Stegostoma tigrinum: one gene and its partners. The protein of the gene in region 1 binds, or shares a complex with, the protein of each later gene. Links are inferred from orthologs where the notes say so. Each region holds a gene or a part of one and is shown on either strand. Other genes may lie near its edges.

Region 1 (7,852 bases):
TAACCTGTCCCACTTATGCTGAACATAATAAGCCTGAATCGCCAAGGCAAGCGTGCACCAGGTAAAGATGTTCCAGATCACAGCGTGGACAGACAACACGATGATGAAAACAATGAAGGACTCCACAAAGACAGGATTTTTCAACATTGCTGCAAGACTTTTCTTATGATGTACACCGTACTGAGGAAAGTTTTAATTATTGTAGAATCCCGAAAAGCGTTTGGGGTTCCATTTCATCTGGCAGAAATTATGTTGTTGAATGTTCCCTTTCATTGAATTTTCTTCCAACTTTTGCAACTGGGTAGATCTAACTGACTGCCAGACCTGGAATAGAGATTGTAACGTAAACTGTATTAGTTACAGTTAGATTATAACCTAAAAGTGCCAAATGTTATAGTGAGGCTTTTCATCCACTTGTGAATCAGCCGAAGGAGTCTCAGTAAATCAATTACAAGGGTGAAATTCAACAGTTTGTTAGACATGCCAAGTACTGCTTGGAAATGCCATCAGATTAGAATAGATTGAATGCAGGGAGCCACAAGTTAAGAAGCAACAAATACAAAAATTCTACTGAAAACAAGTAGTTACTGATGCAGAATCACTAACGTTATAGTACTACCGACAGCATCACTTTGCTGAATTAAGGGTACTTGGACTGAGCAGGCTTCAGCTGCCTGATGTATGTACCATCTATCTGATGTAACTAACTGGAAACAAACATTCTATTGACAAAGAGCATAGACGATGTGTGGTATCTGCCACTGCAGCAGATGCAGTGTACAAGTTCTGCCCTCATAAATTTAAGACAAGAATTGATTGTGCACTGTGTTTTGTGTTCTCTATTGTGACATAGGAACAGGAGTAGACCATTCAGCCTCTTGAGCTTCTCCTGTCACTCAATAAGATCATAATGGATCTGTATCTTAATTCCATATATGCCATTGCTAACAAAATCTATCAATCTCAGTTCTGAAACGTTCAACAGACCCAAAGTCAACAGCCTTTTGGGACAGAGTTCTGGACTTCTGTCAGCCATTATGTGAAGAATTGCTTGCAGACCTCACCTATGAACAGCTGAGCTCTATTTTTAAGGTTGTGTTCCCTAGTTCTGGGTTCTTTCACCACAGCACAGTGTGGTCTTACTAGCCTATTTTAATCATCTTCAAATGATCTTTAATCTTCCACTGATATTCTGAGTGCCTTTTGCTGGGTCCTAAATCAGAGCTTTGTTCAACTGTAACATTACTTGTACCTCTTTGTATTCCAGCTCTCTTGAGGTATAGAGACCAATATTCCATAGCCTTTTAAATCAGCTTCAATAAAGTTACACCAAATGTTTTTCTTTACTGAATTATTCAGACTTCCTACCCTTTGTGATTCTGGGCATTTTATTCTGTTCTTTCGTCAACTGTCTTTTTTCTCCCTGGTGACTAAACATTTTGATTTCAAGATCTCTGTCCAAATACAGTGCTACATGTGAAATTCACTCTTCTACCATCACCCACAGATAAGAATAACATATAATTCATAGATTAGTTTCCTATTTCTGCTGGTAAGGTTTTTGTTATATCTTTTGAGCTTGAAACAAAGCATGCGAATGAGCAACAAGATATTTGATTAGATATATGGAAGCAGGAAGTTTTCTTTCTTAGGAAAATTATGACAGATTTTAAATGCAGTAGCTGATTATTTTTTGTACATATGGATAAAACTAAACCTCTTCACAAAATACAATTCCTCTTATTGGAAGTGGAAACCTGGAGGGATGGCTGTTCAGTCATACAGCACAGAAACAGACTCTTCAGTCCAACTGGTCTGCGCCAACCAGACATCTCAATATGACCTAGTCCCATTTGCCAGCATTTGGCCCATGTCCCTCTAAATCCTTCCTACTCATATCAATGTTGTAATTTAAAGTCGCCTAAATGGCTTCCTCTGGCAGCTCATTCCATACATGCATCACCCTGTGCGTAAAAAAAAACCCCTCGGGTCCTTTTTAAAATCACTCACTTTAAACTCTTAATAATAAAATGTGAGGCTGGATGAACACAGCAGGCCCAGCAGCATCTCAGGAGCACCTGAGAAGCTGCTGGGCCTGCTGTGTTAATCCAGCCTCACATTTTATTATCTTGGATTCTCCAGCATCTGCAGTTCCCATTATCACTTTAAACCCTTTAAGTTTTGGACTTCCCCACCTTAGGGGAAAAGACCTGACTATTCACCCTATCCGTGCATCTCATTATTTTATAAACTTCTGTAAGGTCACCCCCTGGCCTCTGACACTCCAGGGAAAAAAGCCCTAGCCTATGCTGCCTCTCCCTGAAACTCAAATCCTCCAGACACCGCAACATCCTTGTAAATCTGCGCCTTCTCAAATTTAACAATGCCTTTGCTACAGAAAGATGTCCAGGATTGTGCATAGTATTCTAAAAGTGGCCTCCCCAGTGTCCTGTACAACCACAGCACAGCATCTCAATTGCTACACTCAATGTTATGGCCAGTAAAGACAAACATGCCAAATGCCGCCTTCATCATCCTGTCTACTTGTGACTCCACTTTAAAGGAGCTACAAATCTGTATCCCTAGGTCTCTTTGTTCAGCAACACTCACCAGGACACTACCATCAGTTCTCAAAGTTAGGATTTGTTTAAAAATGAAGCTTATAATTAATGTTCATTAAAACCAAGTTCTAACTGTAATTTGAAAACCTAGATTTTAATAAAAGGACAGAGAAAATGAGTTTGCAAACCTTGGACTGCAAAATACCAAGGCATATTGGAGAAAATCAGTAAACAAAAACTTTAAGTTTGAATATCACGAATTCAAGACAAGTAAAAATCATCAAAAACTGCTCATTCAGGACAAATGAGAAATCACAATTACCTAAAGTTTAGACAATTTTTTTTACATCTCATCATTAGTCTATTGTTTGAAAGAACTTGCATTTATTCAGCACCTTATGTAAACTCAGGGTGCCCTAAACTCTTTACAGTCAAGTAAATACTGAATGTAGTCACTGTGGCAACTTAGTAGGCAATTGGCAAACAGCAAGGCTACACAATCTTCGATGAAATAATGACTAGCTAATCTGTTTAGTGATAGTTGAAGGATAAACATTAGCCTTAACACTAAGGGGAACTTGTCCGTTCTTATTCCAAAAGATGTTATAAATCTTCAACATTCACCCAGTATATCAAATGGGGCCTTTTTTAAAACCTCCCTTCTGAAATAACAAACTTCCAGCAGTGTAGCATTCCTTTAGCATCACACTGATCTGGATACCTATTGTGTTTAATTTTCAACAGTGGGACTTGAACCAACAAACTGACTGATTAGTGAGGGATCTACCACTGAGTACAGACTGATTCAATTTTTCAGAAATGAGATTCAAGAATTGATGTTTATTGCTGTATCTGCAGCTACTTAACTACCATAATAGTGAAAGCTAAATGCATTTAACACACTACATATGACTTTAACCAGTGTTTTGTTGAAAAGCAAAATTTAAGTGAATGTCATTACAATGTATGTACTTCTCCTTCTTCACGAATAACAAATGAACGACCATCAGTGAATATAGTCCATTCATAAGAACAGAAACAAACCCAGCAATTTTTCATTGTTCTTCGAATTTTAGAGTCTAAAGATATGCTTGCAACTTGTGACGTCACCGTTATATACACACGTAGGATGTTAAGAGGGTATTAATACCTTGATTTGATTTTTAGTCAGGAATTTCATGGCTTTTTAAACACATTTGGGAGTAAATTTTGTTTTAAATTTAACCAGTGAGAGTGACTGGCCAATGTTGAAAACCCGATCTTTGATAATCCCTACGCAAAAAGTTTAATGTCAGCAAGTAATCAGTTTCAAAGACACCAACTCCTAGTTATTTTTCCAAGGGCACATCAAACAGTGGCATTTGAAACCAAATTTACAAAATTTCATTCTACTCGAATGAGACAAGGAAAGTTTGAGAGTGTATTTAGATGGAAACAGTTGACAGCAACCCATTGGCAACAGCGGGGTTCAGAAAACAGATTGCACATACTCAGTACAAAATGTCCAAGCAGGCAAAATAAAATTAACAATCAAGAGTTTAGTACTCAAATTTCAATTGTTATATTAGGGGTGTCAGTCAAATATAGCAAACCACTGGTAGATAACGTAAACTGATAGTCAAATAAGTCTTTCAGCACAGCAATGGTTTGATTAAGCTGTTCATTTAGTTCCAGATAGATAAGGTACACACCCTAACTGTCCAGTTAAAATTCAAACGAGAGGGAGGGGTCGGAATATCGTTTAAAAAAAAAAATCAGACGAACGGTTTACAAAACATGGATTTTAGCGGAGTCAAACAGTAAAAGAAATAATTTTCTCAGCCAGATCTCTATAGTGGCCTTCGATAAAGAATAATAGCAAGGGATAGCCATTTATAAGAATTCGCTGGTGCAAGAAAAGCGTTCGATTACTCGTAGAGAAATGAAAATAATGATAGAATGAATATTACCATCTAGCGGAAAAGAAATCTAGACTAAAACTAATGTGCATATTTTTTTAAGAAAAACCAATCTCACCAAACGCAAGAGAGGAGCAGGAAGGCTGAGGTTTCAGGGATAGACCCGAAACCTCAGCCTTCCTGCTCCTCTAATGCTACTTAGTATACTCTATTCATCCAGCCCTACACCTCATTATCTCAGATTCTCTAGCATCCACCTTTCCTACTATCTCTCACCAAATAGACTCACCTGTCACCTTCCAGGAGGCGGCCATAATGAAAGGCCAATCACGTGACACGAACAGTACCGTTGAAGTCACGTGCAGAGGGCCGTGGCACCCATGGATGGTCACGTGCAGTGGGTCGGCTTGGATGTTGGTCACGTGAGTGCGTTGGCAATGGCGGCGGCGGCGGGCCCTTACGTGAGGTAAAATGAAATATATGAAACTTTATTTTTTTCTTAAAAAACAAAATGGAAAGCACAGTTTGAGTTTGCGCCGATCAGTTCTGCGAAGCAAGTGTGTTTTCTCGGAAACAAGACCCGGTGGCCGGTATTTGTCTGTCTATCTGTGTGTGTGGTTCCTGTGGGAGCGCGGGGCTACAGTTGGTAAATGGATGAGAACGCGGTGAACACGAGTTTACGTTCAAACTCTATCGTGCCAGGAAAGGGTTTTGGTTCTTTTGGGATCATAATTTTAGATTTTTAACTTGTTCACTTCGTAGATAGACCATTGTACATTGTGGCTGTACCGGTAACTTATTTTCCCCTCGCTCCGTTAAGGGACACAAATTTACGAGAATCTGACAGGAAACTGTTTCTGTTCTCTCAACCCCCCACCCCCTTCCTGTCGCTCAATGATCTGAAAAGTTCTGCAGTATCTTCAAATAGCACCTGATACTCTCGGGTCGTTACCAACACTGAAAAGCAGTTCCAGCGTCTATAATTTAGAAGTCCATACATCTCCACAATTCAGTTTTAGTCTGCCCATCTAATCTGTGTCTGGCTATTCCAGTTCAAGATATAAGGAAAGTTTAGTGCAGTGCAATTTCTTTCCTATAATAGTGTCAATGAGACTGACTGGTTACTGGGATCGTACTTTTGTTTCAATTGACTGTATTTCAACATTAAAAATACAGTTTTCTTGTTTAAAAAAAACCTCTCCTTTTATTTTCTCCCTCATTTCACCCAGTGGAGACAGTATGAGGAGCTAGTACTGTTAACACAACTTTTGTAGTGCTTGGTGAGTTCTACAGTTAGCAGCCCACGCAGTTACAATAGTTTCTTGTCAGTGATGGTGGAGTAAACTTGTTATCATCTTGATATGAAGTTCAGATTTTTTTTATGGATACTTGATTAAATATGGCCAATATATCATGCAACCAGAATGTGGGGAGCAAAGAATAGTTGATGTTTTAAGTGCAAATATTAACTTTTTTGATTTTGTTCTTCAGTGACAGAACTTTAGGTCGTTTGATTTTGAAGTGTCCTTTTTCTGCTGAATGATGTTGGTGCTATCATTCAAGAGACATTCACTGAGCTAAATCGCCCATAGGGATGTGTAGATTAGGTGGTTTATAGAGGGATGGGTCTGTGTGGGCTGTTCTGAGGTTCGGTATGGACGTGGAGGGCCAAAGGGCCTGTTTCCACACTGTAGGGTTTCAATGATTCTGTGTCATCTTGACAATTGTGCAGGACAAATTTGTTTGTTCACAGGATAATTTTGACTTGCACGATTAAGTGGTACATCCAAGGTGTTTTTCCTCAACATTTCCTTTCTCTTCCTCTCTTTTTTCCCTTAAGATTTCCCTTTAAATCTTTTTTCTTTTGAAGTTTTTAGTTACCTGTTGTAATATTTATTTGGCTTGGTTTAATTTTATCCTGTTACCTTGTGTAGAGCTTTGGGATATTCTCCTGTGTTCATGCTCGTCATTCCAGCACTGCAGCTGGTTACTTGGCTCTTTGATTCCACTCTGAATTCTGTATAAATGCAACTTATTGTTAATGAGTCACATTTTGTGGTATGCACTTCGTGCCACCTGCTTGATGTATGGTATGTTTGGGCAGCACTAGCTTCTTTGGCCATCAAATAAAGGGTTTAGGGACTGCTATTTTGCCACTGGTCTACCAACTCCCTTTATGTATTATGTCTTTAAAGTTAATATCTGCAATTTTCTTTTGCTGCCCCAGTCCCTGGTGTAAAGTTTCTTTTTAAAAAAGCATTTGTTTGAAAATTATTTTCAATCTTAAAATATTTTCTAGGGATTAAAAGAAGTTTTGTTTCTCCTCAGACTGGAGCTGCTAGCTTCTATTGTAGAAATATCGAAGCCCCAGTGTGGAAAAAGGCCATTCAGCCAACAAGTCCATGCTGACTCTCCAAAGAGCATCCCACCCAAATTCACCACCCCACCCTATCTTTGTAAACTTGTATTTCCCATGGCTAGTTCACCTAACCTGCACGTCTTTGAACTGTGGAAGGAAACTTCTGGACAAAATCAGCACAGACACAGACACAGAGAACGCACACAGGCGCCTGAGGCTGGGATTGAGCCCAGGTCCCTGGCGCTGTGAGGTGTGCGTCCGCTTAAATTTAACAAGGAGTTTTTAATAGCTTTTGGGTCATGCAGGATTCATGTATCCTCTTTCAACATGATTTGAATCTGGGTCAGAATTCTTAAAATTCACTCATGGGATGTGGCAATGCTGACCTAGTCAGCAGTACCTCCACTAAATTCTCTGTAAGTGGTAAAGTACCTTCTTGAAGCACTGCAATCCACAGGGGTTAGATACACTGACAATGCTGCAAGGAGAGGAGTGTGCAGTATAGAATAGGGCCTCCATGTTCCAAACCTGAATAGCAAATTCCGATGAATTTTTGGCTCTGCTTTCTATATCAGAAAATATCTACTAAAATTTGGAGCTGGACGATAGCAGAATTAAACACAATGACATACAAATTTGTTAGTGTTAAATTTGGATTCAATAAAAACAAAACATTTTCAGTCTTTTTATCAAGACAAGTCATTAAAATTTAGAGATAATGCCATGGGCACCCGCATGGGCCCCAGCTATGCCTGCCTCTTTGTAGGTTACGTGGAACAGTCCCTCTTCCGCACCTACACAGGCCCCAAACCCCGCCTCTTCCTCCGGTACATTGATGACTGTATCGGCGCCGCCTCTTGCTCCCCAGAGGAGCTCGAACAGTTCATCCACTTCACCAACACCTTCCACCCCAACCTTCAGTTCACCTGGGCCATCTCCAGCACATCCCTCACCTTCCTGGACCTCTCAGTCTCCATCTCAGGCAACCAGCTTGTAACTGATGTCCATTTCCAGCCCACCGACTCCCACAGCTA
Region 2 (7,698 bases), on another chromosome or scaffold:
ATGAGGCCAGGTGCATTTTTTTTTGTAATACAGGGTCAGGTAGAACATCAGCACTACGTGACATATGGTGTTTGCGTATTGAGGGACTAAGCATAGCACACAAAGGTGGCCATCAGGATGAAGATAGTAAAGTGTGGAGATGGATGAACACAGCAGGCCAGGCAGCGTCTCAAGATGCTGCTTGGCCTGCTGTGTTCATCCAGATCCACACTTTTTTATCTTGGATTCTACAGCATCTGCAGTTCCCATTATCACAGGATGAAGATAGTGTTGAGTATGTTTTCTGCCCTTCCCACCCCACTTAACTAGAATTTTGTACATGGTGTCCCTTTTGACACAGTCCATCTTTCACCTCTAAATGAAATGGAAGATGCCTTGGGTGACTGCAGTGATACAGGTTTGGGGAATAGGCCAGACCTTTACCACATACAGTAATATTGATTACCTCACCTGATGATGAGGTTTTTACCTGCAATAGATGGGAATGTTACTCCCACCCCTGCCCAGTTTCTGCTTCACCTTGGTGATGACGTCCTTCAAAGTTTTGGTATATACCCCCACCCCCCCTACGTTTTTCCAGAACCTTCAGATAAACTGCTTGATGGGGATAAAAAATCGGTCAGCCCAGTTCCCAAAGAACATGATCTTGCTGTTGCCTTAATTTACTCATGAGGCCAGTTCAAGCTGGTCGCAGATGTTCATGATTCTATACACTGACAGTGAATCCAAGCAGAAAATGGTGATATGATCCCGATACAGGGTGACTTTGACCTGCAGGCCTCTCCTGCCTGGAATAGTCATCATACTCAGGCTCACATCCTTCCTGATGGATTCAGAAAAAAAGGCTCTCTGCAACATGCAAACAAGGCAGAAGAGAGTGAGCAGCCCTGCCTAACTCTAGATGTGATTGAAAAACTTTGGTTCCCACCCAGTAATTGAATGTGACTTAGAGCCATAGAATCATAAAGCACAGAAACAGGCCTTCAGCTCAACTTGTCTATATGGACTCTAAATATGACCTTACCAATGTCAGTACAGCCATAACATGACATCCCAATTCCTGTACTCAATGCTCTGACTGATGAAGGCAAGTGTGCGAATTGCCTTCTTTACCACCCTGTCTGTGACGCCACTTTCAAGGAACTATGTACCTAAGAACTCATTCCAGGCCCCCATCATAAACTGTAAGTTCTGTCCTGGTTTATCTTACCAAAATGCGGCACCTCACATTTATCTAAATTTAACTCCACTGCGATTCCTCAGCCCACTGGCCCATCTGATTAAGATCCTGTTGTTCGCTTGAGATAATCTTCCTTCACTGTCCACTATACCATCAATTTTGGTGTCACCCACGAACTTATTAACCATACTTTGTATATTCTCAACTAAATAGTTTATATAATTGAGAAACAACAGTGGACCCAGCACTGATCCTTGCAGCAGACTGCTGGTCCCAGGCTTCCAGTCTGAATAACAATTTTCTACCATTACCATCTGTCTCCAATCGTCAAGACAATTCTGTATCCAGTTGGCCAGCTCCCCCCGATCCCCTGAGATCTAACTTTATTAAGCAGTCTACCATGCCCAGGCCTTGTTGAAGGCTTTGCTAAAGTCTATGTAGACAATGTGTACTGCTATGCATTCATCTGTCTTCTTGGTCACCTCTTCAAAAAAAACACTCAATCAACTTTGTGAGACATGTTTTTCCATGCATAAAGTCATGCTGACTACCCTTAATCAGTGATACCCGGTGTGGCTTCCTCTACATTGGGGAAACCAAGCGGAGGCTTGGGTCGGCTTTGCAGAACACCTACGCTCGGTTCGCAATAAACAACTGCGCCTCCCAGTCGCGAACAATTTTAACTACCCCCCCCCCACCATTCCTTAGATGACATGTCCATCATGGGCCTCCTGCAGTGCCACAATGATGCCACCCGAAGGTTGCAGAAACAGCAACTCACGTTCCGCTTAGGAACCCTGCAGCCCGATGGTATCAATGTGGACTTCACAAGCTTCAAAATCTCCCCTCCCCCCACTGCATCCCAAAACCAGCCCAGCTTGTACCCGCCTCCCTAACCTGTTCTTCCTCTCATCTATCCCCTCCTCCCACCTCAAGTTGCACCTCTATTCCCTACCTACTAACCTCATCCCGCCTCCTTGACCTGTCCGTCCTCCCTGGACTGATCTATCCCCTCCCTACCTCCCCACCCATACTCTCTTCTCCACCTATCTTCTTTTCTCTCCATCTTCGGTCTGCCTCTCCTCTCTCCCTATTTATTTCAGAACCCTCTCCCCATCCCCCTCTCTGATGAAGGGTCTAGGCCGGAAACGTCAGCTTTTGTGCTCCTGAGATGCTGCTTGGTCTGCTGTGTTCATCCAGCTTCACACTTTGTTACCCCTAATCAGTACTTGCCTTTCCAAATGCCTGAAGGTCCTGTCTCTCAGAATCCCCTCCAACAACCTAACCACCATTGGTACACTCACCTGACTGTAGTTCCCTGCCTTTTCCTGCAGACTTTCCTAAATAATGGCACCTCACCTATGACTATAGGTGATGTAAATACCTCTGCTAGGGGGCCCATAATTTCTTCCCTAGCTCCGAAAAGTAGTGGAAGCATTTGTGGTCGTCTTCCAGGATTCTATAGACTCTGGAATAGTCCCTGCAGATTGGAGGGTAGATAATGTCACACCAAGATTCAAAAAGGGAGGGAGAGAGAAAACAGGGAATTATAGACCAGTAAGCCTAATGTTGGTAGTCGAGAAAATTCTCAAATCCATTATCAAGGACTTTATAATGGGGCATTTAGAAAGCAGTGGCAGGATCAGACAGGGAATGCATGGATTTATGAAGGAGAAATCATGCTTGATAAATCTGTTGAAATTCTATGAAGATGTAACTAGTAGAGTTGACAAGGGGGAGCTAGGTGATGTGGTATATTTGAACTTTCAGAAAGTGTTTGACAGAAGTCCCACATAAGAGATTATTGTGCAAGATTAAAGTGCATGGGATGGGGGAAAGTATATTGAGATGGATAGAAAATTGTTTGGCAGAGAAAAAACAAAGAGTAGGGATTAATGGGCCCTTTTCAAATTGGCAGGCAGTAACTAGTGGGATACCATAGGGAGTGGTGCTGGGACCCCAGCTATTCACAATATATTAAATGATTTTGATGAGGGAACAAAATGTAACATCTCAAAGTTTTCTTATGATACCAAGTTTGATGGGAGGGTGAACTGTAACAATGATGTAGATGCCTTCAGCATGGTCGGACATGTTGGGTGAATGGGCAAATCAAAGGCATTTATAGTATAATTTGGATAAATGTAAGGTTATTCACTTCGGAAGCAAAAACAAACAAGCAGATTACTACATGAATGGCTGTAAATTGGGACAGGGGAGTGTGCAGCAGGACCTGGGTGTCCTTGTGTGCCAGCCACTGATGTTAAGCATGCAGGTGCAGCAGGCAGTAAAGAAGGTAAATAGTATGTTGGCCTTCATTGCAAGATGTTTTGAGTACAGGAGCAGTGATGTGTTGTGGCAGTTATACAGAGCCTTGGTGAGGCTGCACCTAGAATATTGTGTGCCATTTTGGTCTCCTTTTCTGAAGAAGTATGCTTTTGATCTCGAGACGGTGCAGTGAAGTTTTGTACCAGGCTGATTTCAGGGATGATGGGACTGACGTATGAGGAGAGATTGACTAGAATAGGATGGTTTTTGCTGGAGATCAGACAAATGAGGGGGGATCCTATAGAAACTAATAAAATTCTAACAGGTCCAGTCTGTAGATGCAGGGAAGATGATCCCGATGATGGGTGCGCCCTGAGTCTGGGTGTGTCAATGGTCCGAGTCTAAGGATTTACAATATACCATTTAGGACGGAGATGGAACATTTCTTCACCCGGAGAGTTGGTGATCCTGTAGAATTCATCACCACAGGAAGTAGTTGATGCCAAAACATTAAATGTATTCAAGAGGTGGCTAGATAATATAGCACTTGGGGCAAATGGGATCAAAAGTTATGGGGAGAAAGCAGGATTAGGCTATTGAGTTAGATGATTAGCTATGTGTGATGAATGGCAGAGCAGGCATGAAGGGCTGAATTGCCGCCTCCTGCTCCTATCTTCGAAGTTGCGCACAACATCCTGGAATACACTTGGTCAGGTCCCGGGAATTTATCTACCTTATGTATTTTAATAACTCCAGCACCACCTCTTTTGTAACGTGGACTCTTTTCAAGATATTCCTATTTATTTTCCGGAGTTCCCAAGCTGCCATGTCTTTCTCCACAGTAAATTCCGATGCCTTTACTGGTTTATGATCCTTCCCAGTTTTGACCTTCGAGTTGAATTCGGTGGGTTGATGCACAGTTTAGTATGCACTCTGATACAATCAACACCACTTTTGAATTCTGACTGCCAGTTTTTGCAAAGTATTTTATATACTGTGAGAACAGTTGTCTGTAGTCTGTCTGGAATGATTACCTATGGCCTCCGCACCTCCCAGCAAAACTCTCTGCGCCACGAACCCCGCCCACGGCCTCTGATGTGTAACCGCGCTCAGCGAGCTTCCATTGACGGTTGGCGAACATCACATTATTGACACCTCTCTTACCCAATTGGAGGATGTGGTTTGCAGGTTGTCCTATCGTAAGCGGAGCTGGTGATGCCCGATTCTGCCGAATGGGCACAGAGGAGAGTCGGAAGGTGGGTCTTGGCGCTGGTACGTCCTCCAGGTTTCGTTGAGTGCAGTCGGGCTCTGTTACGGCTGCGATGAGTTTCCCGCTGAGGTAGGTCGCTGCTTGGTGTCATTGAACGGAGAGCCTTGAAAAACAAAAACCCTGATTTCCCCCCCGCCTTCTTGGTGGGGTTGGGGTTGGGGTTGGGAGGTCAGTGATCCCAAAACGGCGTCCTCTTTGATTTCTCTTTTTTTTGTACAGTTTATGTCAAATATGCGGCCTCTATGTCGCCAGTGGGCAGTTTCTATCACTGCCCTGTGGTGAGGAGGCCGAACGCTAACACCGCCGTTGACAGTTTCCTACACAACGGCTTGTCCTTTTAAACGCCTGAATTACCCGTAGTCTCTCAACACTTCCATCGGCATCAAGTGCCTTTGTATTCGGCCTCAGTTACGCTACTGCTTGGTTTAGTAGTTAGGATTGTGCTGCACAGTGCCATCTAACCGTGTGTGAGTATTGTCGCTGCTGTTTTTCATTTGATTAGCCAGTATCTGGCATGTGTAGCCTCAGTGCCCGACGATGTTCTGGAATTTATCGGTTAACTCGATACAAGTCACATCAGCCACCGCTTTAGGATCATTAGTTGTGGATCTTCAGTTGCTGGAGGTGACATACACCCGTGCAGGGACCCTTCTGTTTGCCAATAAAAGAAGAATACCCAAGCGTTGTGAGTTTTTGAATTAGCTGGGAGCTTGCAGTACCCCTGCTGCATTCTCCATGGCAACATCTGTTCAATCAGAGATAGCAGGAACTGCAGATGCTGGACAATCTGAGATAACAAGGTGCAGAGCTGGATGAACGCAGCAGGCCAAGCAACATCAGAGGAGCAGGAAGGCTGACGTTTCGGGCCGAGACCCCAATCAGTTGACTTGCCAACCAGTCTTTCTGTTTTGTGATTTTTGTTTTTCTGATTTGACTATTTTTGTAGTAGGCTGGTTGGCTGTAACTGGTGGAGTAACACAAGGACCAATACTTAGGCCGTAGCTGTTCACAATATTTATGTGTGTGGCGTATCAATGACTTAGAGTCTGAGTCGTAGAGGTGTACAGCACGGAATCAGATCCTTGGGTCCAACTCGTCCATGCTGACCAGATATCCTAAATTAATTTAATCCCATTTGCCAGCATTTGGCCCACATCCTACTAAACCCTTTTTATTCATATACACATCCAGATGTCTATTAAATGTTGTAATTGTACCAGTCTCCACCACTTCCTCTGGCAACTCATTCCATACCGGCAGTGTCTTCTGCATGCAAAGGTTGCCCCTTAGGTCCTCTTTAAATCTTTCCTCTCTCACCTTAAATCTATGCCCTCCAGTTTTGGACCCCCCTACCCTGGGAAAAGATCTTTATTTATTTAACCTGTCACTGCCCCTTATGGTTTTATAAATGTCTCTAAGGTCATCCGTCAGCCTTCGTCACTCCAGGGAAAATGCAGTACCTCACATTTATCTAAATTAAACTCCATCTTTCACTATTCGGCCCTTTGGCCGCTCTGATCAGGATCCTGTTGTACTCTAAAGTAACCTTCTTTGCTTTCCACTACACCTCCAATTTTGGTGTCATCTGCAGGCTTACAAATCATTGCTCCCATGTTTACATCCAAATCATTTATATAAATAACAAAAAACAGTGCACCCAGCACTGATCCTTGTGGTACACCACTGGTTACAGACCTCCACCACTACCCTCTGTCTTGTACCTTTTGAGCCAGTTTTGTATCCAAGTGGCTAGTTCTCACTGTATTCCATTTGATCTATCCGTGCTAACCAGCTTACCATGAGGAACCGTGTTGAACACCTTGCTGAAGTTCAAATAAATCATGTCCATTGCTCTGCCCTCGTTGATCTTCTTTGTTACTTCTTCAAATAACTCATTCAAGTCAGCGAGACATGATTTCCCAAGCACAAAGCTATGTTGATTGTCCCGTGTCCTGGGGATTTATTCACTTTGTGCATGTTAAGACATTCAGCATCACCACCTCTGTATTTTGGACATTTTTCATGATGTCACTGTTTATTTCCCTATGTTGCCTATCTTCCATATGCTTCTCTGCAATAACTACTGATGTGAAATCCTCATTTAGTATCTCCCCCATTTCCTGCGGTTCCACACTTAAGTGGCCTTGCTAATCAAAAGGAGCCCTGTTCTCTCCCTAGTTAATCTTTCGTCCTTAATGTATTTATAAAATTGCTTCAGATTCTCCTTAATCTATTTATCAAAGCTATCTCAAGTCTCCTTTTTGCCCTCCTGATTTTCCTCATTAAGTATACTCTACTGACTTTATACTCTAAGGATTCACTCCATGTCTATACCTGACATATGCCTCCTTTTTCCTGATCAAAACCTCAATTTCTCCAGTCATCCAGCATTCTCTACACCGATCAAGCTTGCCCTTCACCCTAACAGATTCTCTCTTGGACCCTCGCTATCTCATTTTTGAAAGCTTCCTATTTTCCAGCCATCCCTTTACCTGCAAACATCCACACCCAACCAACATTTGAAAGTTCTTGCCTTATACTGTCAAAATTGGCCTTCCTTCAATTTAGAACTTTAACTTAGATCCGCTCTATCCTTCGTCATCACTATTTTAAAACTGTATTTCCAAATTATGATTTGATACAAAGCTAAATGAGAACATGTTTTGTAAGGAAGATAAAATGTTGCTTAGTGGGATTTAGACAAGGCTCAGTGAGTGAGCAAGAACACGGCAGATGGGATATAATGTGGGCAAAAGTAAAGAAGTTACCTACTTTGGTAGAAGAAACAGATGTGTGGAATATTTTCAAATGGAAACCACTTGGAATGTATAGATGTACAAAGGGACCAAGGTGTCCTTCTTGATAACTCATTGAAAGTTAACAGTCAGGTGCAACAAGCTATTAGACATCTAACAGAATGCTAGCTTTTATTGCAAACCATTTAGCTACAGGAGTAGTGAAGTCTTTCTTCAAATTTAGA
Region 3 (7,288 bases), on another chromosome or scaffold:
ATCAAGTGACCTAGTGTGAACAATTCTTTCGGGTAATGTCAGACATTCTTCCTACCAAAGTTTTTGTCCACTAACTCATCTACATCCCTTGAAAATTCCTTATGACTCAATTACACCATGCCTCCTATTTTTGTATCGTCAGTAAATTTGGATACATTCCTTTTTGCTTCTTCATTAACATAGATAATAAACAATTACAGCCCTAGGACTTTGCGCGCTCATCCAAATGCTCCTTAAGTGTTTTGAGGGTTACTACCTTTTCCATCCTTTTAGGCAGTGGGTTCCAGATATCCATTATCCTCTTTCTTTTACCCCTTAAATGTCTCTAAACTTCTTGTCGTAAAATTATGTCCCTGGTTACTAACCGCTTTACTAAGGGGAAACATTTCTCTCTATCTAATTTTTCACAACTTTGTACAGCTCAATCAGCTCCCCTCAGCTTTCTCTGCTGCAAAGAAAACAAAGCAGCTTGTGCTCCTGAGATGCTGCTTGGCCTGCTGTGTTCATCCAGCCTCACATTTTATTATCTTGGAATCTCCAGCATCTGCAGTTCCCATTATCTCTGAGCCTATCTAATGTTTCTTTTCATAGCTGAATTACTCCAGCCTAGGCAATGTCCTAGTGGATCTCCTTTGCACCTCTCTCATGATCTAACGTAATATACAGCTCCATTTAAACTTCTTGCACCTGTATTTAATCCCTTGACTAATAATGGCAATTATCTTACAGCTACCTTATCCTGCTGAATCTATGGATATGCACACCAAGGTTCCTCTGTATATTCTGGAGTCCTACCATTTAACGTTTATTCCCTTGCCTTATTAGTCTTTACAAAATACATCACACTTTTCAAGAAAAAATTCCATTTGCTACCATTTAGCTCATCTGACTGGCCCAGCAAAATAGTCTAGTAGTGTAAGGCTTTCCTTCTTGTTATTTACCACACCATCAATTTTCTTGTCATCTCTGATACTACAGATCTTACCTCCTAGACTCATGTCTAGATCATCAATAGTAAGAATCCAGCATGGAGCCATTTGGCATAACACTGGACACAGACTTCCAGTAACAAAAATCCCATAGAATCATATAGTTACAGTGCAAAAGGAGGCTATTCATCCCCCCATGCCTGCACCAGCTCTTCAAATTAGCATCACTGCCTTGCACCAACCTCTTGCGTTTTCCCTATATTCTGGCACACTATTTCCATCCAAATAATCATCCAATGACCTCTTGAATGTCTCAACCTAACTTACCTTCACCAGATTTCCACGCAATGAATGCATCCCATATCCCAACTACGCACTGTGTGAAAAATGTTTTTCTCACATCACCCTGTTTCTTTTACATATCTATGACCTCAGTTTTATTAATGTGAATGACTTCTCAGTGCCTAATCTATGTGACTGCTCAAGATTTTGAAAACTTCGATCAAATCTTAATCAGCCTTTTTATCTGGAAGGAGAAACAGTCCCAACTTCAAACTATTGGCAGCACAGTGGCTCAGTGGTTAGTGCTGCTGCAATGCAGTGCCAGGGGCCCGCATTTGATTCCAGCCTTGGGTCACTGTATGTTTGGAGTTTGCACATTCTCCCCAAGGTTGCCTGAGTTTCCTCTGGGTGCTCTAGTTTCCTCCTGCAATCCAAAAATGTGCAGGTTAGGTCCATTGACCATGCTAAATTGCCCTTAGTTCAGGGATCTGTAAGGTAGGTGGATTAGCCATGGGATATGCAGGGATAGGGTACGGTGGTGGGTTTGGATGGGATGTTCTTTGGAGGGTCACTGTCGACTCAATAGACTGAATGGCCTGCTTCCACGCTGTAGGGTTTATATTATTCTTTCTGTCCTCATTACTGAAATTTTTCATTCCTAGATCCATTCATTTAAATTTGCATCAGCAGTCTCTCCAATGCATACACATCTTTCCTAACTGTACACAATATTCCAGCTAAGGTCTAACAAATGTCGTAAGTGTGAGTTCAACATCACCGTTCAACTATCACCCCCCCAGACTTCCTGCCATTGTCAATTCCGGATCCAATTTCCAAAACTGCCCCCGATCCCATGAGCTCTTAAGCCATGAGCAAACCCCATGAACAAATTAACCAATTTGCCAAGTGAGACTTTGTCAAAGATCTTACCGAAGTCTGTGTAGACTATATAAACTGCACTACCCTCATCTACATGTTGCTAGCTTGGTCAATTGTGGTGCTACCAAGGCAGCCTGTTAATGGACGTTCAGTCCTTGGGCAGGGATCATCTGTGCCCTTCCTATCCTCAATGCTTCCACCAAGTCATATTCAACACATTAGAGCACAGGTTTGCTCAACTGAGGGAAGGTAGTAGGTGTTCATCGGCAGGAGGTTTCCTTGCCCATTTGACCAGATGCCTGAGACTCTCAGAGCCACTTCTCCCAACTGTATGCAAAGGTAAATTGCTACAAAGTAAACTTTCTTTCCTTATTCTTCCTGACTCTTCTGCAGCCGTTGACATAGTGGACCATATTATCCTCTCTTGAGGGGAGGCAATGGCCTAGTGGTATTATTGCTGAACTGTTAATCCAGAAACCCAGATAACATTCTGGGGCCTGGGTTCAAATCCTGTTTTGGCAGATGGTGGAATGTGAATTTAATAAAATATCTAGAATTAAGAATCTAATGACAATCATGAATCAATTGTCAGGGAAAAGCCCATCTGGTTCACTAATGTCCTTTCGGGAAGGAGACTGCCATCCTTACCTGGTCTGGCCTACATGTGACTCCAGGCCCACAACAATGTGGTTGACTCTGAACTGCCCCCGGGCAAGAAATGCTGCCAAGCCAGTGATGCCCTCATCCCATTAATGAATAAAAAAACTCTTCTTGCCTGTCATCCAGCTGGATGAGATTACTGTCACCTACTTGTGTTTTTATATATCTAAACACGGTTAAAAATCACATGTTCTCTTCTTGGTCTCACACTGTTACTTCTGGAGTCCCCTCAGAAATCGTTTCTCAGCTTTCTCCTATTTCTCATTTACATTATGCCCCTCAGTGATTACAACATTTGTTTTCATGTGTACATGCCACCCAAATCCACTTCGTCATTCTTGACTCCTCCACTGTTGTTAATCTATGAGACATTTATCACCTGATATGTGCATAGCTGTGCAGAATTTTTTTTCCAATATTGGGAAGATTGCAGCCGTCATTTTTGGTTTCTGCTTTAAACTTTGTTCCCTGGCTAGACCCCTTCCCTCTTCCTGGCTGCAACTTGAGATTAAGAACCTTGGTGTTAAATTTCACTTTGAGATGAGTTTATGTTCTCATAGATCTGTGCCATCACTAAGACAACTTATTAGTATGGAGATAGTAGGAACTGCTGATGCTCTGAGATTACAGAATGCAGAGCTGGATGAACACAGCAGGCCCAGCAGCATCAGAGAAGCAAGAAAGCTGACGTTTTCTGGAGAAGGTCCAGATCTGAAACGTCAGCTTTCCTGCTCCTCTGACACTACCTGGCCTGCTGTGTTCATCCAGCTCTACACTTTGTTATCTCTACTTATTAATATCATCTTTTTCAGCTCAGTTGTTATGGAAACCATTCATGCTCCCTGTTTACTTCTAGACTTGACCATTTATAAGCAATACTGGTTGTTCTCCAACATTGTTGCCTCTTTTGAGTTCAGGTTAAACCTAAGTCTTGACTCACACCAAGTTACACACCATCTCCTGGTTGTTGATCGACGTTGTCTACCACACCAGCAATGTCTTGATTTCAAAATTTTCAACCTTACTATCAAGTCCTTCCACCACCTCCAAATAATGTCATCTTCGATTCTGGTCCCTTGTGTGACGGTGACTGGATCTTAATTTCTGGAATATCTTCCCTCATCCCACCTACCTTATTTTCCTTCTTTAGGTTGCTCATTAAATAGTTTCTCTGATACAAGCTTTTGGTTTGTTTTAATATCTCTTAATGTGTCAAATATTGTTTTATGATGTTCCAGTGAAAAGTTCGTTTCATTACATTGAAGACGCTAAGATACAACTGACTCTGTGGGTTTGCTCCATCAGTGGAACAGGACAGACTCGCTAAAGGTGATTTCGGAATCTGGGCTATTAGCTGTTTTTCATCTTGGTCCAGTCTGTAGCACTGACCACGTTTTATCTGATGTTCGTTAATGCTGGGAAACTAGCGGAATTTTCTTCAACCGTCGCCGCTTGACAACATTTAGATCAGGCCCAGCATTTGTTGAAACCGCGTGTTTGTGGTTCAGTGGTGGATACAATCAGCTGATCAGGCAACTAAGAGGCCGCCCCAGTGATGGGGTCCTTGATGAGCGGGCGGCGCGGCGTGACCAAGGGAGCGCGATGGAGGATTCACTTCAGGAATATGAGCCGATCCCAATGGTGAGGGTGAGGGAGACGAAGAGGTGGGATTCGACAGAGGAAGAAAGTTTTTTTCCGATCGTCCATTAGACAGTGCCAGGAAGAGTGTCTCCGGAGCAGTTGTTGTACAATCGGATGGTTGTTCCCGTGTGACCCGGGACCGCAGCCTGGTAGAACATTTTTAGAGAGGGAGACCTACTCTTAAACAGAACCTCGAAACACCCCAAACTCTTTTGAGGTCCGCGGAGTATTTTCTTTGCGAAACTGCAGGGAAAATTGAGAAAGTAGAAATGGCCGAGGTTCTTTACAGAGGCAACGCGGACTGGTGGGCCAATTAATCTCCTGTGGTGTAACTATTCGTTGATTATCCTTTTCTACAACATGTTCGACACTTCAAAAATACTTAATCGGTTGTAAGCCAAATTGGGATGTTCGAGGATATGCTACTAAAATGCACGTCGGCCTTCCCTTTCGAAGTGCTGTTGCTGATGTCATGCGACGCCCAAATTGCTCACAGTTAGAACCTACACACATGAACATAACCAGATGTTCCGGTCTTAGTGATGCTGGTTGAACAAATGTTGGGTAGAATGTTGAAGTGAATTTACCTGCTATCTTTCAGTCACGTTCAAGGGTATTTTTGTATTCACCTGATGAGGACAGACATTTCTTTTGAAAATCAATGTCTGACAGATCAGCGGTTCTTCGGAGAGACAGTAAAATATTTCTCCAACAACAGAGTTTCAAATAAATAATTTTCTCTCTGTTGTTGTTGTTCCTAGGATATTCCAGGAGTGGATGTTGGAGAGTTCATCGGGTTTGAATGGGGCCCTACTCAAATGTTGCTGTATCCGACACGGCATGATCAGACAGGTACTGTGATTTTCTGATTATTTATTTTTAAACAACCTTAAGTAATTTAGAATAATGAGAAATTGCTCTTGTCCCAATCATTTTAACCTGACAAATTTTGGCATCGGATTTTAAAGCCTAAATGGAGATACTTCTGCGTACACTCCAACACGTGATAAAAGTAAGTAAGGATAAGAAGTTGACAAAGAACCAAAAGCAACGTGACATAATATGTATTGTTGTGACTTGAAATGAACTGCCTGAAAAAAGTGATGAAAATGGGTTCAATCATAATATTTAGAAATATGGAAGTTGATGGAAGATTAGAGAAATGGAATTAATTGGATGGCTATATTAAGGCAAAATGGGAGTAAAAACCATTTTTGTGTACAATATCATTGCATTATTCGGTCCTGGCACAGTTCACTCCAATCTATTTGCAAATATCATACATTTACATTTTTCCATTTCGTTGACATGAGAATGAATCGTTTGGAATAAAAATTTCATTGACTGAACCAAAAGGAAAAGAATGGAAATAATGTAAAATGAATGGAAGATCCATATCTATCAGACCCTGCATAGGGAGCAGGATAGAGAAATAGCTTAAGGTAAGCATTAAGCCCATGTGTTACAGTACAGACTTTTTTTGGGAGCGTGGTTGGTTCACCATGGTATTGGGGGTACTCCAGTTGCATGAGACTTGACTGCTTTGAAAGTTAGTGTCAAAAAGGCATCACAGGATTTGAATGTCATTAAAGTGTGAAGTACCATAGGATGTGTATGCAGAATTAGGCCGTCCAGCCCATCAAGTCTGCTCTGCCATTCGATCATGGCTGATATGCTTCTAAATCTTCTCCTGCTTCTCCCCACAAGCCTCGATCTCCTTAACAATCAAGAACCTATCTATCTCTGCCTTAAATAAATCCAATGACTTGGCCTCCACAGCCCTCTGTGCCGTTGAGTTTCAGAATCACCACCCTCTGGCTGAAGAAATTCTTTTTCACCTCCGTTCTAAAGGGTCATCCGAGGCTGTGCCCCAGGTCCTAGTCTCTCCTGCTAGTGGAAAGATCTTCTTCACATGCACTCTATCTAGGCCCCTCATTATCTTGTGACTTTCAGTGAGTTCTCCCCAAGGCCTTCTAAACTCCATTTGAGTGCAGATTCAGAGTACTTGACCACTCTTCGTACAACAAACCCTTCCTCCCATGCTCGTTCTTGTAAGCCTCCTCTGAGCCCCCTCCAATGCCAGCACATCGTTTTTTAGATACTGGGCTCATGAATTACTTTGCTGAAGGGAATAGCTGAGACAAATAGCGTCACAAAATGTTTAAATAATTAAAAAGAAAGATACTGCTTTGGGGATAGAGTCAATCAGTGGGACTGATTTGGATAAAAAAGTGCACGGTGGTATGTGGTAAACTGGTGAATAATATTGGATTATTCTGATTAAGTGCAGTGATATAAAAGATGGACTGTGAATATTTTGGAAACTGGTCGCTCCCTGGTTGAGATCAACTAAGAAAATAGATTTGGAATCAAATGTTAAATTTTTCAGACTCATGGCTTAGTGCTGTGATATGTTGTGGTTTCATTCACTAGGTCCTTACGAGAGCCATTTCTAATTGTTCTGACTAATCAAATGTAGCTGAAAAGCATTATTGTCTGGTATGCTTTATGCAGACCATACATTTGCATTTCCCAGCCCTCCTTTCTGTTCATACCCCAGAGACTGCACCAGACAGCTCCCCAAGAATGCCCTCCATTCAAGTTGTCTACAGCGACAAAGATATATACTCACCAATTCTGTGTAAACTTTTCAACGAGTCACATGGCATCTTCATGACTCTTCAGAAATCCAAACACGATTGCACAACCCAGAGAGCAGAGTGAGTAGAAACGGACTTCAAGATTTTCTTTTACTCTGAAATATAACACATGGCTTACTATCTTCAGGTATTTTGCTTGTTGCAAAAAACTAATACGAATTAACTGGGATAATAAAATGTGAGGCTGGATGAACACAGCAGGCCAAGCAGCATCTCAGGAGCACAAAAGCTGACGTT
Region 4 (7,654 bases), on another chromosome or scaffold:
AGTATAAGTAGAACATAAAAGGTAGTTTTGAATGAGGTGATCTTTACAGGTAGTGGAGGACAAAAGCAGGCATGGACATATTTGCATCAAAGCAATAAAGGCATAGTTGAGTTTCAGTAGCAGAAAGGTTTACCCCATAGATGCAAGCGATATTATAGAGTACAGTACAGCACAGGACCAGTCACGTGGCCCACCAAGTTGCCATTCTAAACCAATCCCATCTGCTTGCATATGGTACATATTCCTACATTCCCTGCATATTCACATCTTTAAAAATATGACTATTATAAACTGCCAGCATGCTTCTACATAAATGCAGAACGTAACAAGAACATCTTACAGGTTAACGTAAGTGCTATTTACAATAATAACAATAATAATAATAATTATTTGAATTCAGAATCTCAGTTCAGATTTGAAGAGGTTGAAGTAAATCTGGGTCAGCAAGATTAAACTGGAGATCCAAATACAATGGCTTCAGCCTTGTTCTGACTGGAAGCTGACCCAAGACTGAGGATGATACCATCAGAAGGCAACATGCAAGTAAATAAAAGGAGGCTTCCATGGGTCTTCTGAACAAAGGCATAATGGTATAGGAAAAAAAGTAATCACTGGAGATAATCTAGTTACAATCATGTTAGGAAAGGTGGAACAAAGAAGTCCCATTTACTTCGAACCTGGAACACTGGTGCATTTTGAATTCCCAATTTTCTTTTGTGTACCAATGACACAGCTTCTACAGAATTCCTTTCACAAAATTTTCCACCTCACCCTCCTCCAAGAGGAGTTTTAAAACTTTGCATCACTAACTTCTATCTGATAACACTTTGTGAAGCTAGGTTTAAAGCACCAAATATATATAAGTTTAGTTCGGTAACTTGCAACGTGTTTAAAATGCAAGACTGCGATACTCTAAGACTGTGTGTACTGACAATGAGTTAGTGTACATGAAAACAAATAAGTGGCTGGAAATAAGACTGAAGAGTGAAAGATACAACAATCTAAGGGAGGTAGCAATAATATTTGAAAGGTAAAACATAAGGTGAGGTTTAACTATATAAAGAGTATACACAGCAAGTGTAACCATAATCCTTAAAGTAGTAAATAACTACACATTTCATAGATGCGGGACACACACAAATGCATGCTTTTAGCAGGTGAAATTCTTTCCAGAACAAAAATATCAATATGGTCCTAATGACTGACGTTCGGTTAGTGATACTCATTTGGGTCACAGGGTTTCAAATTTAAGATTCATTCAAAGTTCAGCATAAAAATCAAGACTGGCAGACCAGCTCAGCACCCAAATGTGTCCTGCACCATGGAGATGCTGTAGCCCAACTGCCCCTCAGGTGGATATAAAGGGTGTCATGGAACTGTCTCAAAGAAGAGCATCAGAGAACGATTACTTGGCCCAACACATTTGTTTGTTGAAGTTTTGTACGCACAAACTGGGTGTCAGGTTTTCTTTGTTACAAGGATGAAACTTTAATGACTGTAAAGTGCTTCAAGATGTCCGTACTTGCGCATTATATTTCATAAATTCACTTTTTCCCTCCCACATATTAACATCTGAGATCTAAGAAACAAGCATCTTACTGAAGGGCTGAAACAAGCCTACAGTGCCGATTATGCACTTCCATTTCGATAAGAATGCATCAGCATGGTTTGCAAAAGCCTATCACAATGAAGCAATACCCCCTCAGTATAGTTGGGAATGAAATATAAAAGTTGTGTGGAAATTATTTTTGAATGCCAAGTTTCTGAACACAAATAAGACCGATCTTCCAACCAAAATGCTTTCGGTTGTTTTTGATACTAACAACCTCATATACTAGTACTAATTGTAATAATTTTAAAATCAGACTGTTCGAATATAAATCCCTCAGGTAATATACTAGCTGAAGTTCAAAAAGCAAAGTGTCCCGTCAAAATGTAAATTTATTAAGAAGTCGGTGGCAACAGTTGAGTACTCCAGATACCGGCAGCGTGAAGTCCTCATGTCAAAGTCGCAGCTGAGCCACCCCCAAACCCACGATGATCGTAGAAGAGGAAACTGGTTAAAATGCAGTACACGAATGTACTGGCTAAAATCGCACTTGTACGCCAAACTTCCACAACAGGAACAGCAGTATTCGAAAATGTTATGGAAGACTCGCTTTAAAGGAACAAATCAAGTCCGCGCCAAAATGCCCATGGCGGCACGCGAAAAGGACGGAGACCGGAGCAAGCCGAAAGACTACCCAGTGAAGCTCAGGCCAGAACGGGAGATTGAAGGAAGAAAAACAGGGCAGCGTAGTAAAACAGGGGAGACGAAGTCGAGGGAAAAAAAGGAGAGAAAGTCGCTCTTACCAGCCGGCCGTGGGAATGCAACCGGAAGCGAATAACAAGCCGACAAGAAGCGTCTCAACAGCATTTATACAGTAAACACTAAACACAATGAAATAAATCCCAGAGGGGAGAGATCCATTGGGAGTTACAGCTCCGTCGTCAGCACCTTCTACCCGCCTCCAGCCTGTTTTTTTTACCTTTTTGAACAGGTCGGGCCCAAGTTTGGTCCCGACTCTGCCCTCAATCGCTCAGGCCGCTGAAGCCAGCCACTAGGCCGCGGCTCGCGCACACCGTCTCTGCCGAGAAAGCGGGGCTCACGACAGCCGCCTCCTCCTGCAACGACTTAGTTAAACCTAACGCGGTCCGGTTTGGCAATCCTTTCTTTAGAGTAACAACAAATAATAAAATAAAATACCTGGTTCTTAGCGTAAGGTTTGCTGATGATATGGTGTCTCTTGTTTCGGATTTTACCCCCCCCTCCTCCTGTCGCCGCCGCCATATCTGAATCCGTCTGCCTACCAGTCGCTCGCGCCGCTCTCTATTTCCTAGCAGCCGTGTCCGGGAAGAGGTGGGGGGGGAGGAGGGACGGAGAAGGGGGGAATCCACACTTGTAACGTCACACGCTTTCTACCGTCTCCCGCAACCACGCACTTCGCAACAAGCATTCAACCAACCATCCGCATGCGGGCGCGTTCTCGCTCACTCGCACGCAAGTGCCTTCCCTCAGGGGAAGGGTTTTTCCCCCAACGCACGATGCGCGCTCAAGAGACAGCATGCGCCAAGCCTGCGTCACCCCGCCGCCAGACGCTGCCATTGGCTCCGCCCAACAAACGGCCCGCAAAGCATCAAGGGAGCAGAAGGAAGATTAGCGCATGTGTTAACTTCCGCTTTGCCCTCGTCTCCCCACCATGTTTCTGTGCTTCTGGTCTTTAGACCAAAATATTTCTGAGGATGGAGATCGGGAGGGTAATACGGGTGTACGAAATCTACATTCTCTCCTCAGGATGTCCATCTCTGGCTCTACGAACGTGATTGACTTGAGCTCAAGTGGATCAGTGAATTTTTCAAAGGGATTCATTTGGCTACAGAATCTGCGTGCTGATCAGTTTCGTGCTTGAGGGAAGGGGAATTACTGACCAAAACTTACTCAAGGGAAACCAAGATTACCTTATTGAAAATGTGAAGTGTGTAAACGGTCATTGGTTTATTCCAAAATATTACTAGACTGAAATCAGACAGTGTTATCTAACATTGAGAAAGCAGCTACAGAGGGTCAAGAAAGTTTCGCCGAAATATTATGAGTCATTTTACATCACAACTGTGTCTCCACCTCATTACAGGCGTCATGGATTGCGTGTAAGGACGTTGGAAGTCATGACGAGTACTGTAGAAATGTAAAATTTAACTTTGTACTGATGCGAATTGACTTATGATTTTTGGCGTTTACTTATGTGTGTGGTGGCAGCAATCGTTGAATTTTTTATCCTCTGGTGATTCCAAACGCAACCTACTACCGATGCTGTAATTCAAGCAAACAAAAAAAAGTCAGGTGGCAGTGAAGGGGGAGAAATTAATTTGGTTCTAGTGAAAGTTCTAAACTCAACTTTCACTTATACGTTCTCCTTAAAAACCATATGACCATAAGAAATGGGAACAGTTGCAGGGCACATTGGCCCTTGATTGTGCTCTGCCTTATTTTTCACTCATTCAAGGGAATGTGGGCATTGCACGCTCGACCAGCATTTATTGCCTGTCCCTAATTTTTAAGTGCCAACCACATTGCTGTGCATCCAGAGTCAGATGTAGGCTAGACCGGGTAAGGACAGCAGATTTCCTTCCGTAAAGGACATTAGTGAACCACATGAGTTTTCCTGACAAGCAACAATGCTTTCATGGTCACCAGTAGACTCTTCTTTCATGTGTTTTTTTTTCATTGAATTCAGATTCCACCATCTATCATGGCAGGATAATAAATTTGATAGGAGCATAGCTCATGAGACAGTAAGATATAGGAGCAGAGTTACGCCATTCGAATGAGTTCTGCCATTCAATTATGGCTGATATGCTTCTCAACGCCTTTCTCCTGCCTTCTTCCTGTACGTTACTAATCAAGTTCCTATCAATGTGTCTTTCTTAAAGACAGTCAATGACTTACCTGCACAGCCTTTTGTTGTATCAAGTTTCACAGATTTACCAGCCTCTGTTCTGAGGGTCATTCTTTAATTCTGAGGCTGTGCACTCAAGTCCTAGTCTCCCCTGCAAGTGGAAACATCTTCTCCACATCCCCCCTCTTCAGGCCTCTCAGAATTCTAAATTACGATACCCCCTCATCCTTCAAAACGCTATCTAGTTCTTCAAACACTTGTTGTATGACAAGCCGTCCATTTCCAGGATCATCCTTCTGAACACTCCCCCCCGAGGCAGGGTCATCCTTCCATACGTACAGGGCTCAAAATTGCTCACAATATACCAAATATAATCTGGCCAGAGCCTCATACAGCGTCCTTAGTACATTCCTGCTTTTGTATTCTATTCCTCCTGAAATGAATGCTAACATTGCACTTACCTTCTGAACTGAATCTGCATGTTCACCTTGAGAATCCTGAACTAGGACTCCTAAGTCCCGTTGTGCTTCAGATTTCCAAAGCCTTTCCCCAGTTTACAAAGTAGTCCAACATCTATTTTCCCTATCAAAGTGCACAGTTTCACACTTTTCCATATTATATTCCATCTGCCACTTCTTTGTCCACTTTTCCAGCCTATCCAAGTCTTATAGCTTCCCTCAACGCAGCCTGCCCCTGCACTTATCTTTGTGTCATGTGCAAATTTACCAACTATGCCGTGAGTTCCTTTGTCCAGATCATGATGTCTAACATGAATAGTTGTGGTCCCAACACTGACCCATGTGAAACTCCATTGGTCACGAGCTACCATCCTGGAAAAGATCCTTTTATGCCCACTTGCTGTCTCCTGCCAGTCAGCCAGTCATCTGTCCATTGCCAGTACCTTTCCCAGAACACCATGGGCTCTTATTTAGCAGCCTCCTGTGTGGTACCTTGTCAAAAGTCTTCTCTAAATCCAGAGAATCCCTTACACTGACTCTCCTTTGTCTAACGTTCTTATTGCTGATGCCCACTTTCCTCTGTTTTCTTTGTAACCCATCATTCCCCTACCGATCAAGAATCTATCTGTCTCAGCCTTAATTATACATAAGGAATAACATTAGTTCTTAGTTTAACATTTGTTGTTAGGGAATTACTAGACTCTAAATTCACTTATACAAAGATTGAACACCTTTAAAAGTTTTTTAGATTTGTAGCTTGGGTTGTGGATGAGTTTGTAGACTTGCTCACTGAGTCGATCGATTTGTTTGCAGATGTTTTGTCACCCTGCAAGGTATCATGGTCAGTGCGCCTCTTGTGTAGTTTTGGTATTCTTTCCTGCTTGTTATTTATATGCCTTGGTTTACTGGGGTGATTGGCATTATTTCCAGTTCTGTTTTTCAGTGGTTTGTATATTGGGTCCAGTTCAACGTGTTTATTGATGGAGTTCTGGTTGGAATACAGGTCTGCATGAATTCCCTTGCATTGAACACCTTGAATTGTTTCAGTTGACCCAAGAAAGATTGCACAGATCTACCATAAGGTGAGAATTGGGAATGTTTGGCAATGATTGCACATTGGTCACCAATCATTCCTTATCAGCTACTAAAGCAGTCAATATCCATATGCAGGAAGACCTAGACAACTTTCAGCATTGAGCTAATAAGTGCCAAATAGTATTCAAACTGCAAGTACCATCTTGACTTGTAACTGTAAGTCCTTCAATTCCAAGGGGTCAAAATCCTGGAACTCTCTAACACCCCAAGAACTGCTACAGTTCAAGAAGGCAGCTCAGCATCACCTTCTCAGGGGGAATCAGAATGGGCAAATAAATGTCAGTCCAGCCAACAACAGCCACAACCCACAAATGAATAAATAAAATTACACTAGACAAACCTGATTCAATTTGATCTTCATAGTTTTAACCGTCAACTTGAATATTGAGTCTGATCTGGGCACCATACTTTTGAAAGACCTTAAGTCTTCAGAAAAGATGCATAAAAAATTTAGCATAATGATTCCAGGGATGAGGAACCTGAGTTACTTTGACAGATTTGAGAAGGTTGAGAGAAGATTTGATAATGTATTTGAAATCAGGAAGAATCAAGACAGAGCATCTTGGGAGAAATGGTCTGCTGTTGGAGAATGATTGAGAACAGAAGGATACTGATTTAATCTGAGAAGCACACAAACCAACAGCAACATGCAGAAAAGTATTTTTATGCAGTAATTGACTAAGAATTGGAATGCATTGCCTGCGAGTGATAAAGACAATTTTGACCATGACTTTTATAAGGCACATTTACAAGGCGCCTAATTAGATAAGCACCTGGAGAAGAAAAGAATGCAATGCTACAGGGAAAGGATTAAGGAACGGGACAAGATGAGTTGCTCTTGTGGTGAGTGGGCAGATACTTATTGAGCCAAATATTTGCTTCTTGTATAAGAACAAATCAATGATTTTATATTTTGCAGAATTAACTGAAACAACGGACGTAGGAATATCTATGGATGTTGTTGTATGAATTTCCAAAAGATGTTTGATAACTCCTTATTAGCTAAATTTGAAACTCATGGAAGTGTACACAATTGTAGTTAGGAAATTGGTAGAGTGGGAAGAGACAGAGTAGGCCTGAGTCATGACTTGCGATATTCCACAAAGATCTGTGTTGGGGCCTAAAGGCACATCTATTAAAGAACAAAGCCACAAATCCAGCATACATGCAGTTTAAATATGAACATATTCTGAATAAACATAATTATGGAAAATAATATTTACAATGAACCTAAAAACTTCAGAACATTATCCATGATGAAAAGTATCAAGCAGTGAAGGTTCAAAGAGATGTGGGCGCTGTTTACATGGATCTAAAATATTAGAAATTAGAGTAGCAGATGGAGTTAGAAGAACTCAAGTTAGTCAATAAAAAACCCTTGTCAGATCACAATTGAGAGTAGTGTGAGTAGTTCTGTGCACATCTTAGGATAAATTGCATTGCAGGGTACACAGTGTAGTTCAGCATTTAAATACATTAAAATGAAATCCAGAATCCAAGGATGAAATTATGAAGAAAAACAGAAAGTGATTTGTTCAAAGTTTAAAATATTAAGGAGAATGATTAGGGAAGGTAGAAATTAATTATGCTGCCTGGGAAGGCTAGTACTTTGGGGTGTCAGCTTTAAAATTATAGCTAGATCTTCTCAGAAGTGAAATAAGGAGT

Evidence for each region.
Region 2: nup188 (region 1) and cetn3 share a complex: the UniProt entries of both Homo sapiens proteins name them as parts of the nuclear pore complex. The link is inferred for Stegostoma tigrinum from reciprocal best matches to the Homo sapiens genes NUP188 and CETN3.
Region 3: nup188 (region 1) and nup85 share a complex: the UniProt entries of both Homo sapiens proteins name them as parts of the nuclear pore complex. The link is inferred for Stegostoma tigrinum from reciprocal best matches to the Homo sapiens genes NUP188 and NUP85.
Region 4: nup188 (region 1) and nup153 share a complex: the UniProt entries of both Homo sapiens proteins name them as parts of the nuclear pore complex. The link is inferred for Stegostoma tigrinum from reciprocal best matches to the Homo sapiens genes NUP188 and NUP153.

The regions. Positions count from the first base shown.
Region 1 is NC_081382.1:33,834,774-33,842,625, reverse strand, and holds the start of nup188 (nucleoporin NUP188), read left to right. Parts: upstream 1-4,848; 5' UTR 4,849-4,896; coding exon 4,897-4,925; intron 4,926-7,852. Other genes in the region: dolk (dolichol kinase), read right to left, coding at 1-147. UniProt on the Homo sapiens protein: Component of the nuclear pore complex (NPC), a complex required for the trafficking across the nuclear envelope. Required for proper protein transport into the nucleus.
Region 2 is NC_081356.1:93,259,589-93,267,286, forward strand, and holds the start of cetn3 (centrin-3), read left to right. Parts: upstream 1-4,691; 5' UTR 4,692-4,770; coding exon 4,771-4,787; intron 4,788-7,698. UniProt on the Homo sapiens protein: Plays a fundamental role in microtubule-organizing center structure and function. As a component of the TREX-2 complex, involved in the export of mRNAs to the cytoplasm through the nuclear pores.
Region 3 is NC_081375.1:37,005,138-37,012,425, forward strand, and holds the start of nup85 (nuclear pore complex protein Nup85), read left to right. Parts: upstream 1-4,287; 5' UTR 4,288-4,352; coding exon 4,353-4,391; intron 4,392-4,440; exon of another isoform or gene 4,441-4,540; intron 4,541-4,578; exon of another isoform or gene 4,579-4,719; intron 4,720-5,152; coding exon 5,153-5,243; intron 5,244-5,704; exon of another isoform or gene 5,705-5,833; intron 5,834-6,927; coding exon 6,928-7,111; exon of another isoform or gene 7,112-7,128; coding exon of another isoform or gene 7,129-7,146; intron 7,147-7,288. UniProt on the Homo sapiens protein: Essential component of the nuclear pore complex (NPC) that seems to be required for NPC assembly and maintenance. As part of the NPC Nup107-160 subcomplex plays a role in RNA export and in tethering NUP96/Nup98 and NUP153 to the nucleus.
Region 4 is NC_081355.1:33,648,522-33,656,175, reverse strand, and holds the start of nup153 (nuclear pore complex protein Nup153), read right to left. Parts: upstream 3,013-7,654; 5' UTR 2,831-3,012; coding exon 2,747-2,830; intron 1-2,746. UniProt on the Homo sapiens protein: Component of the nuclear pore complex (NPC), a complex required for the trafficking across the nuclear envelope. Functions as a scaffolding element in the nuclear phase of the NPC essential for normal nucleocytoplasmic transport of proteins and mRNAs.